Linked DNA regions of Oryctolagus cuniculus. The protein of the gene in region 2 interacts with the protein of the main gene of each other region in a pairwise test. Links are inferred from orthologs where the notes say so. Each region holds a gene or a part of one and is shown on either strand. Other genes may lie near its edges.

The links.
Region 1: the proteins of CPSF7 (region 2) and SNRNP25 interact in binary tests that used the Homo sapiens proteins (3 or more experiments, as listed by UniProt). The two-hybrid records come from large-scale screens. The link is inferred for Oryctolagus cuniculus from reciprocal best matches to the Homo sapiens genes CPSF7 and SNRNP25.

What each region holds. Positions count from the first base shown.
Region 1 is NC_091450.1:34,568,167-34,573,189, forward strand, and holds SNRNP25 (U11/U12 small nuclear ribonucleoprotein 25 kDa protein), read right to left. Parts: upstream 3,207-5,023; 5' UTR 2,975-3,206; coding exon 2,933-2,974; intron 2,213-2,932; coding exon 2,122-2,212; intron 2,018-2,121; coding exon 1,912-2,017; intron 1,489-1,911; coding exon 1,414-1,488; intron 1,134-1,413; coding exon 1,076-1,133; 3' UTR 764-1,075; downstream 1-763. Other genes in the region: POLR3K (DNA-directed RNA polymerase III subunit RPC10), read left to right, coding at 3,408-3,518.
Region 2 is NC_091432.1:10,749,797-10,754,684, reverse strand, and holds the start of CPSF7 (cleavage and polyadenylation specificity factor subunit 7), read right to left. Parts: upstream 3,137-4,888; 5' UTR 3,001-3,136; exon of another isoform or gene 2,885-3,000; intron 2,865-2,884; exon of another isoform or gene 2,719-2,864; intron 2,369-2,718; 5' UTR 2,315-2,368; coding exon 2,261-2,314; intron 1-2,260. Other genes in the region: SDHAF2 (succinate dehydrogenase assembly factor 2, mitochondrial), read left to right, coding at 3,233-3,268.

The DNA.
Region 1 (5,023 bases), on a different chromosome or scaffold from region 2:
ACAGGGGCCAGACCCACAGCACACAGGTTCATTCTATACAGGGGCCAGGCCAGACCCCACAGCACACAGGTTCATTCTATACAGGGGCCAGGCCAGACCACACAGCACACAGTTCATTCTATACAGGGGCCAGGCCAGACCCACAGCACACAGTTCATTCTATACAGGGGCCAGGCCAGACCCCACAGCACACAGTTCATTCTATACAGGGGGCAGACCCACAGCACACAGTTCATTCTATACAGGGGCCAGACCCACAGCACACAGTTCATTCTATACAGGGGCCAGGCCAGACCCCACAGCACACAGGTTCATTCTATACAGGGGCCAGGCCAGACCCCACAGCACACAGTTCATTCTATACAGGGGCCAGGCCAGACCCCACAGCACACAGTTCATTCTATACAGGGGCCAGGCCAGACCCACAGCACACAGTTCATTCTATACAGGGGCCAGGCCAGACCCCACAGCACACAGTTCATTCTATACAGGGGGCAGACCCACAGCACACAGTTCATTCTATACAGGGGCCAGACCCACAGCACACAGTTCATTCTATACAGGGGCCAGGCCAGACCCCACAGCACACAGGTTCATTCTATACAGGGGCCAGGCCAGACCCCACAGCACACAGTTCATTCTATACAGGGGCCAGGCCAGACCCCACAGCACACAGTTCATTCTATACAGGGGCCAGGCCAGACCCACAGCACACAGTTCATTCTATACAGGGGCCAGGCCAGACCCCACAGCACACAGTTCATTCTATACAGGGGCCAGGCCAGACCACACAGTTTATTTTGCACAGAGGGTGGGGCCAGACCCCCAGCACACAGTTCATTCTGTACAGTGGGTGGGGCCAAACAGCCCGGGGGGTCTGCTGGTGGCTCGGGTGCTTACCCTCGGGTAAAAACAGGCTCAGGTCATGCTCCCGGGGAGAACCAGCCCCACCCCGTGCTGCTCAGTCCTGACAGCTCGTGCTGGGCACGGCCAGGCTGCGTCAACAGCCGTTCTGTGAAGGGGCACAGCCCAGGAGGAGCCTGGCCACTGGTGCAGGGCTGTCTTGTCTGGAGGCTCACTTCTGCCTCAGCTTTTTGATGAAGGAAACCTCGTCCCGATTGCGGATCCCGTAACTGAAAGGACAAAAGGCGCAGTGTCTGACTGCAGGTGGGTGTGTAAGTCCCCACCGCAGGGGTGTGGGAGACCCCGAGTGAGCCACAGGTGAGGCGTGCGCGCCCGCCCGCAGGCCCGAGAGGAGCAGCCGGCCGCGGTTCACTTGCACGCGTCGCCCCGAGCTGTGCAGCCCTGAGCCACGGCTGGAGAGAACCAGCAGTGCCCATGCTCTGCTCCGCTGCCTGCCATCTCCTGAGCCCCGCGGAGGCAGCAGACCACGTGACCCCTCCCTGGACTTACTCGCGGAGCTTCTTCCTGTCCTCTGTGAGCTTCTCTCCCGCAGAGGTCAGGTGGTACGTCCTCCACACGTAGGACCTGCACGGGGGGCCTCAGGTAAACTCCCGAGCAGGCCGAGCGCGGCAGCTCGGGGGGACAGTGCCGTGGGGCCTGCCAGAGGGGCAGAGGGGCAGCTGGGCCCCGCACACCTCGCGAAGGAGACAGACGGCAGTGCTGAGCTGCTGTGAGGACACGCGACTCAGCAGGACAGCGAGGCCAGCAGTGTCTGAGGAAGGGACAGGGCCACGGATGGTGCTCCAGCTGTCACCAGCGTAGGCCATGGACGGTGCTCCAGCCGACACTGGGGAGGCCACTTCTGGACACACTAGTGTCCTAAGTGTCCCCAAGTGAAGGTATCAGCAGCTCAGCTGGGTGACATGACGAGAGACGTGTAAGAGCAGCGGAGGGAGCTTTCCTGCAGGCCCCTGTGACGGGCCGTGACGGGGCTGCTGTCCCACTCACCAGCTGATGTGCTGAATGCCCCCTTCTCGCTCCTGCTTGAGCTGCACGTATCTCTGGATGGCCTTCTTCAGGTCCAGGACCGTGGCGTTCTGCACCACGACCACAGCTGCAGGGAGAAGACGTGGGGTGGGGATTCACAGCCCTGGCTTCCGCCTGCGGGTTTCCCGACGGCCAGGCCCGCTACCATCTGAAGCGGAGAGCGGCACTCACGCATGACTTCTCCGTCCATCTTGGACACTCGGACCGTCATCGCTTGGCCGTATTCTAGTGCAATCTGGGAGTTGATCTCTTCCAAAGTCACCTAGAAAGCGCCAAGCAGGGGCAGTGGGAACCCTGGCTTTGTTTATCAGCCCAAACGGAACCAAACTTTATGGAGGGCCGGGGGAGGGGCTCCCTTTAGCACCTCAGTCTCAGGTTCCACCCGACTTCTCTATTTCATGCCGAATGGCTGTGGAAGCAGGGAGAGTGAGCCCCCAGGGGCTGCTGGGGGGGGAGGAGGGAGACGCTGGGCCTTTCAGTTTGCCCAAGAGCCCCTGGTCACCAGGATCCAGGCCAGAGCCCTGGACTAAGTGGGAGGCATGTGTGCAAAATACACAAGGCAGGAACACACGGCAGTGATAAGACTGCAGTATAACACTTTTCTTAGAGGAAATTCGCCTCTGCATCTACTTATTTGACGGGGGCGGGGCGGGGAGGAAGGAGAGGGGAGAGAAACACGAGTCTTCCATCCGCAAACGGCCCCAGCACCCAGGGCTAGGCCACGCCGAAGCCAGGGGCCGGGAGCCTCACCGGGCCCCAGGCACTGGGCCGCCCTCCGCCGCTCCCCGAGGAGCGCTGGCAGGGAGCCGGAAGGGAGCGGAGCAGCCGGAGCTCCCATTCTTCAACTGTCCTTTACCGACAACCTTCTGCATCAAGTTTGGCACCGTTTCCCCTGCCCCTTCACGCCGGGCCCGGACCAGGCCGGCCGCAGTCCCCCATCAGCACCTCTCCGGCGGCAGGTGGCCGCTCTGGCCGCGCGCACCTGGATCGGCAGGTCGCAGAGCAGCGGGTCCTGCACCACCATGGCGAGACCCTCCTGGAACACGTCCACCGCTTCCGAGTGAGGCAGCGTCTCCTCTTCGTCCTCATCCTCCTCCGGCACCTCGGGCCCCTCGGCCTCCTCGGCCTGCTCCGCTGCCTCCACGGTCGCCAGCCCGGAGCCGCCGGCCGCCGGCCCAGCCACTCCACGCTCGGGAGGCGGAGCACGGACGCGGACTGGGCCCACCTCCGTGAGGACGTCCAACCACCGGCGGGCCAAGGGGCGGGGCGGGCGCCCCAACCAATGGGAGTGCGAGGCGGCTTGCCGCAGGGCCGGCTGGGAGCGAGGGTCGGCGTGTCTATTGGTGGGCTAGCGGCGGGGGCCGCCGGGACCAACGTGAGGTCGAGGTGGGCGGGGTGTCGGCGTCGCGCGGCCAGGGAGCTTCCGGCCGTGGGGGCGCGCGGGCCAGGGCGCCGCCATGCTGCTGTTCTGCCCCGGCTGCGGGAACGGGCTGATCGTGGAGGAGGGCCAGCGCTGCCACCGCTTCGCCTGCAACACCTGCCCCTACGTGCACAACATCACCCGCAAGGTGGGCCTCGACGTTAGGGTCGGCCTCCGGCGGCCCCGGCCTCGCGTCCCTGGCCTGTGGGCGCATCTGTCCAAGACGCGCGCACGCCGGCGCCTCTCGCCTGGCCCGGCCGCCGCCTCCCTTCTGGGGCTGGTTTCGGAGTCGCCTGGTCGGGGCAGGGCGGCGGCTCCAGCTCCGGCCGCGGCCGCCCTCGGTGCCGCTCCGCGTCCCGCGTGGCGCCCGGCGTTCCTCGGGCGGCCTCCGTTTACTCGCGCTCCCTGGAGTGCTCCCGCCCCCCTCGGTCCCTTCTGCTGCCTTGTGGTCCGAGCGCGGTCCAGGGCAGAAGGCCTCGGCAGGCCTCCTTCCCTGTGTTTGTCCGGCCGCCTGGCTCGCACCTGGAGCCCCGGGGTGTCCAGCCGGCGAGCCGCGCGCACTGGCCTGGCACCCACCTGGAGCCCCGGGGTGTCCAGCCGGCCAGCCGCCCGCACTGGCCTGGCACCCACCTGGAGCCCCGGGGTGTCCAGCCGGCCAGCCGCCCGCACTGGTCTGCCGTGCACCTGAAGCCCCGGGGTGTCCAGCTGGCGAGCCGCGCGCACTGGTCTGGTGTGCACCTGGAGCCCCGGGGTGCCCAGCCGGCGAGCCGCGCGCACTGGCCTGGCACGCACCTGGAGCCCCAGGGTGTCCAACTGGCGAGCCGCCCGCACTGGCCTGGCACCCACCTGGAGCCCCGGGGTGTCCAGCCGGCGAGCCGCCCGCACTGGCCTGGCACCCACCTGGAGCCCCGGGGTGTCCAGCCGGCCAGCCGCGCGCACTGGTCTGCCCTGCACCTGGAGCCCCGGGGTGCCCAGCCGGCGAGCCGCCCGCACTGGCCTGGCACCCACCTGGAGCCCCGGGGTGTCCAGCCGGCGAGCCGCCCGCACTGGTCTGCCGTGCACCTGGAGCCCCGGGGTGTCCAGTTGGCGAGCCGCGCGCACTGGTCTGCCCTGCACCTGGAGCCCCGGGGTGTCCAGCCGGCGAGCCGCCCGCACTGGCCTGGCACCCACCTGGAGCCCCCGGGTGTCCAGCCGGCCAGCCGCCCGCACTGGTCTGCCGTGCACCTGAAGCCCCGGGGTGTCCAGCTGGCGAGCCGCGCGCACTGGTCTGGTGTGCACCTGGAGCCCCGGGGTGCCCAGCCGGCGAGCCGCGCGCACTGGCCTGGCACGCACCTGGAGCCCCAGGGTGTCCAACTGGCGAGCCGCCCGCACTGGCCTGGCACCCACCTGGAGCCCCGGGGTGTCCAGCCGGCGAGCCGCCCGCACTGGCCTGGCACCCACCTGGAGCCCCGGGGTGTCCAGCCGGCCAGCCGCGCGCACTGGTCTGCCCTGCACCTGGAGCCCCGGGGTGCCCAGCCGGCGAGCCGCCCGCACTGGCCTGGCACCCACCTGGAGCCCCGGGGTGTCCAGCCGGCGAGCCGCCCGCACTGGTCTGCCGTGCACCTGGAGCCCCGGGGTGTCCAGTTGGCGAGCCGCGCGCACTGGTCTGCCCTG
Region 2 (4,888 bases):
ACATGCTTGAAACATTCTAAAACACGATTTGTAATGGATATCTTCCAACCAAGCCAGTGTCTAACACCCTAGCCAGACAAGGGTTTTTGCCATTTTGTAGCAGTTTCCAGATTTCACTAAAACCAGCTTTGCCAAAAATTAACTCATGTATGGGGGGAGGGGGGAAGAGTGCCCGTTCCTTTACTTTCCACAAGACATAAGGCATTCAAAATCTACATTTTCTTCAACTTGCCCAGTATCAAAAATTCTACGTCATTTGTATAAATGTCTATTAGAATCTAAATACTCCTTTTGGCCTCTCAGATCATTTTTTTTTTTAAAGTTCTTTTTAAATTAAAGAGAACAAATTGCTAAGATCAATGTCAACCCTAACAGAGCAGTGAATACTGGACAGTATTCACCTATGAGTAATATCGTTTAAAAACTTAAAATCTTACTTCCTCAGACCAAATGTGGCTAGTGATCAAGGACCCTGTTCTGCCTATTTCCCAAAGTCAATCAGTACCACTGTTATCAGTCCATAGATAAGGAATTACACACAGAGAGAAAAGTTTCATTAAAGACAGAAAAGAACTAGAGGGCTTTATTTTCCTGTTATCTTGTAAAGAAAAACAAAAGAACCCACAGGGCCAGCGCTGTGGTGCAGCAGGTTCACAGCCTGTCCTAAAGCACCGGCATCCCACATGGGCACCGGTTCAAGACCTGGCTGCTCCACTTCCAATCCAGCTCTCTGTTACGGCCTGGGAAAGCAGAAGATGGCCCAAGTCCTTGGGCCCCTGCAACCGCATGGGAGAACTGGAAGAAGCTCCTGGCTTCAGATCAAATAGGCGCAACTCCAGCCATTGCAGCCAACTGGGGAGTGAACCATCAGATCATCAGATGGAAGCCCTCTCTCTCTCTCTGTGTAACTCTTTCAAATAAATCTCTAAAAAAAAAAAAAGAAAAAGAAAAAAAAAAAGGAAAAAAACAAAACCCATACAAAGAATTGGTAAAAGTCTGAGTTAAAGGACATCGAAAACTCAGGAAAGCAATGGTCTTGTAACTAAATGAACATTCTAAACTCTTCTCTTTGATCCATAATTATTTGACTTGTCCAAACTTAGAAAAACATCATGTATTTAAGTAGTCATATGTAGATGATGCCAGTTTAACAAGGACGTAGGAAAACAGCTATTAAAAATATACAACATTCTGAGCCGGCGCCGTGGCTCAATAGGCTAATCCTCCACCTAGCGGCGCCGGCACACCGGGTTCTAGTCCTGGTTGGGGCGCCGGATTCTGTCCCGGTTGCCCCTCTTCCAGGCCAGCTCTCTGCTATGGCCAGGGAGTGCAGTGGAGGATGGCCCAGGTGCTTGGGCCCTGCACCCCATGGGAGACCAGGAAAAGCACCTGGCTCCTGGCTCCTGCCATCGGATCAGCGCGGTGCGCCGGCTGCAGCGGCGGCCATTGGAGGGTGATCCAACGGCAAAGGAAGACCTTTCTCTCTCTGTCTCTCTCTCTCACTGTCCACTCTGCCTGTCAAAAAAAAAAAAAAAAAAAAAAAGAAAAATATACAACATTCTCTGGTGAAATGAAAACATAAAGAGACAATCACTTCCAACTTAGGATATGTGAATGGGTCTACATCTGCTTTTTAGCTACTTTGCCCAATGTTCTTTACCCTTTCCTCCCGAGAACAATACACAAAATTTATTACATTAAAATGTCGATGTACTTCTCAAGACCGGAGTCAAGCTACTTATAAAAGACTCAACTCAAAAGCAATTGCAATGGAGCAAAACTGAACGTTAAAGTATCTCAAGTGCAGTGCCTTCGTACCTTCATGCTGGAGAGGACACTTCTCCAGCTAGTCTGCCAGACCAAACAGCTATCAACATTGTTCTCACCAACCCGCAGCAAACATAATTCCGATTTTTAAGTGTGCTAAGTCTTTGAGGAGACTGCCACCCAACTTTTGCTTCCTTGGGGAGCAAGTTCCACAGGTTGATTCACCATTCTATTACAGTTGATTTTTATATGCTCTTAAATCAAACCCTTCAAAATTAAGCCTGAAGGTTCAAATTAACATTAAGCAGAATACTCAGTAACCTTTAAAGTCTCCGCTAGGGGGAAAATTTCGGACTCCAGAGTTGTGTTCAAGACTCGGACTGGCACAGCTTGGCACTGGCACATCGTGAAACCAGTGCGAGTTACTGGAGATGATTCCTCGGCCGATCGAGGAAAAGCCCAAAGCTCCCAAGGACCACCGCCACCCTCTCACCTGGTTGAACTCCTCATCAGCGTATATATCAATCAAGTCCACTCCTTCTGACATGGCTCCGAAGGAAGCTCTCGAGCCCGGAGAATGGACAAAGTAAGAAAGACGCCACTGTGGTAGTCAGAAGAGGGCAACAATTAGAAGGCACGACGGGCCCGGCCCGAGCGCAGGGCGATGGTTGCCCACATCCCGTCTCCAGAGACGCAGCATCCCGGCCGCCCGAGCCCGGCCCCACCCGCCCCGCCCCGCCCCCGGCCTCGCGCCGCCCCCCCGCTCTCCCAGGCCGCCCGGGCTCGCGGGGCGCGCTGCCCATCACCCTCGGGCCCGGCGCGGGGGGCGCCGCGTCGGCGCCGCAGCTGCCGGTGGCGCGACAGGCTAGTCCAGGCCTCGGCTCCCAAGGGCCTTCGGGCAGGGCTGCGAAGAACACGGCGGCGATGCCCGCAGGCCCAGCCTGCCCGCACCTGCCCAGGCCCCGAGGCGACCCCGGCCTCAGCGCCTTTGGGTCCCAGAGCTCCATCCGCCTCCGCCTCTCATCCCGGCCCAATCCTCGCCCCCGGCTAGGCCTGTCCCACTCCCTCCCCACAGACCCGGCCCGGCGCGCTTGGCCCCTCCCTCAAGGACCCGCACCTCCCTCCGCTCGCTGACTCCGGCCGCCCTAAGCTCAACCGACCCCCTCCCCGCCTCAGCGTCGGTCCCGGCCCTTCTTCCGGCCCAGCCGGCCCCCGGCCGCGCGCCCCCGTTACCGGGAATATGGCGGCAGCGGCGGCAGGTCCGGACTAGGCCCGAAGCGCGCGAACCGCTCTCCGCCCCAGGTCCCGCCCCCCCGCCGGCGGCGTCACACGCAGCGCCACTTCCGCCAGACGCAAGGACGCATCTTCCGGCTCAAGTATTCTGCGGCGGCTGAGCTTCGCTAGTCCAGACGTCAGGAGTTCCCGGAAGTAGTCCAGAGGGGACTTCCGGTGCGGGTTGGGAAAAATGGCGGTGGTCCCTGCGTTCCCGGCTTTGGCGCGGGTGAGGAACGCGGAGGTTCCAGGGGCTGGGGCCGGGGCCGGGGGCCAGCAGTATCAGGGACTAAGTTTCGTTTTCTGGGGTCATGGAGACAAGCGGGAGCGTTCAGCTGTCCTGTAGCCCAGGGCAAAGGGAGGCCAAGGAGAGGCCGATCCTGCTGCTGAAGAAATTCAGATCGCTTCCCTGCTTTGGTGAGCCTGCTGTGTGCTCACCTGGTAGTATCTGGCTGAAAAGTCAGTCCGCGAGGGCACCCGTTTCTGTCCTCCTCTGTCCTCTGAGCGCCCTCTCTGCCTGTTTCTTAAGTCCTTTTAAATGCCTACCCTGATTTCACAGTCTCCTCTTTATATTGCTTTTTGATGTAGGCATTTACCACCATAAACTTCACTCTTAGAACTGCTTTTGTTACATCTCATAATTTCTTGTATGTTGGATTTTAGTGTTTGTTTTAAGACGTCTTCTGAGTTCCCTTTTGATTCCATCTTTGGCCCGTTGATTTTTCAAGGAATGTGTTAATACTACGTATTTGTGAATTTTCATTTTTCTTTCTGCTTTTGATTTCGAGTTTTATTCCATTGAGGTTAGAAAAGATCATCTGGTGTGCTTCATTAAGCCTTCTTAAATTTGCTGAGACTTGTTTTGTGATGAAATATGGGATCTATCCTGGAGAATGAACGTATTCTTGAGAGGAATGTGTGTTTTGCTTGTGTTGGGTAGGATGAAGGGTATATATCTGTTAGGTCTTTTGCTCTGTAGTATTGTTAAGTCTTCTATTTCCTTATTGACCTGCTGTTTGGATGTTCTGGCCATTTTTAAAATTACTATATTGCTCTCTGTTTCTTCCTTCAGTTCTGTTTGCTTGTGTATTTGGATGCTCTGATGTGGTTGGGTGCATCTGGTTATAGTTAGACCTTTCTGGACAATTGATTTAGAACATTATATTTGTTTAATGTCTTTTGTGTCATGTGACAATTTTGACTTAAATCTGTTTCGTCTGATGTAAGTATGGTCATCCCTGCTGTGTGGAATTTCATTTCTATTCTTTCAGCCTATGTGTGTCCTTAAATCTCTCTTTTTTTAAAAGATTTATTTTATTTATTTGAAAGAGTTAGAGAGGTAGAGACAGAGAGAGAGGTCTTCCATCCACTGGTTCACTCTCCAGATGGCTGCAACGGCCAGAGCTGTGCTGATCCGAAGCCAGGAGCCAGGAGCTTCTTCTGGGTCTCCCATGTGGGTGCAGGGGCCCAAGGACTTGGGCCATCCTCTACTGCTATCCCAGGCCATAGCAGAGAGCTGGATCAGAAGAAGAGCAGCCGGGACTAGAACCGGTGCCCACATGGGATGCTGGCACTTCAGGCCAGGGCTTTCACCCACTGTGCCACAGCGGCAGCTCCTGTCTTTAAATCTAAAATGAATCTCTTAGAGACTATGTATCATTTTTTTGTTTTGTTTTTCATTCAGCTACCCTTGTCTTTTGATTGGGAATTTATCCATTTGTATTTAAAGCAATTACTGTCAGGGAAAAAGTTACTCTTTCTATTTGTTCCTTGTTTTCTGTCTTATCACTTTTTTGTCTATCCCTTTTTCATCAGTTGTGTTCCATTGTTTTGTGGTGTCATGTTTTGA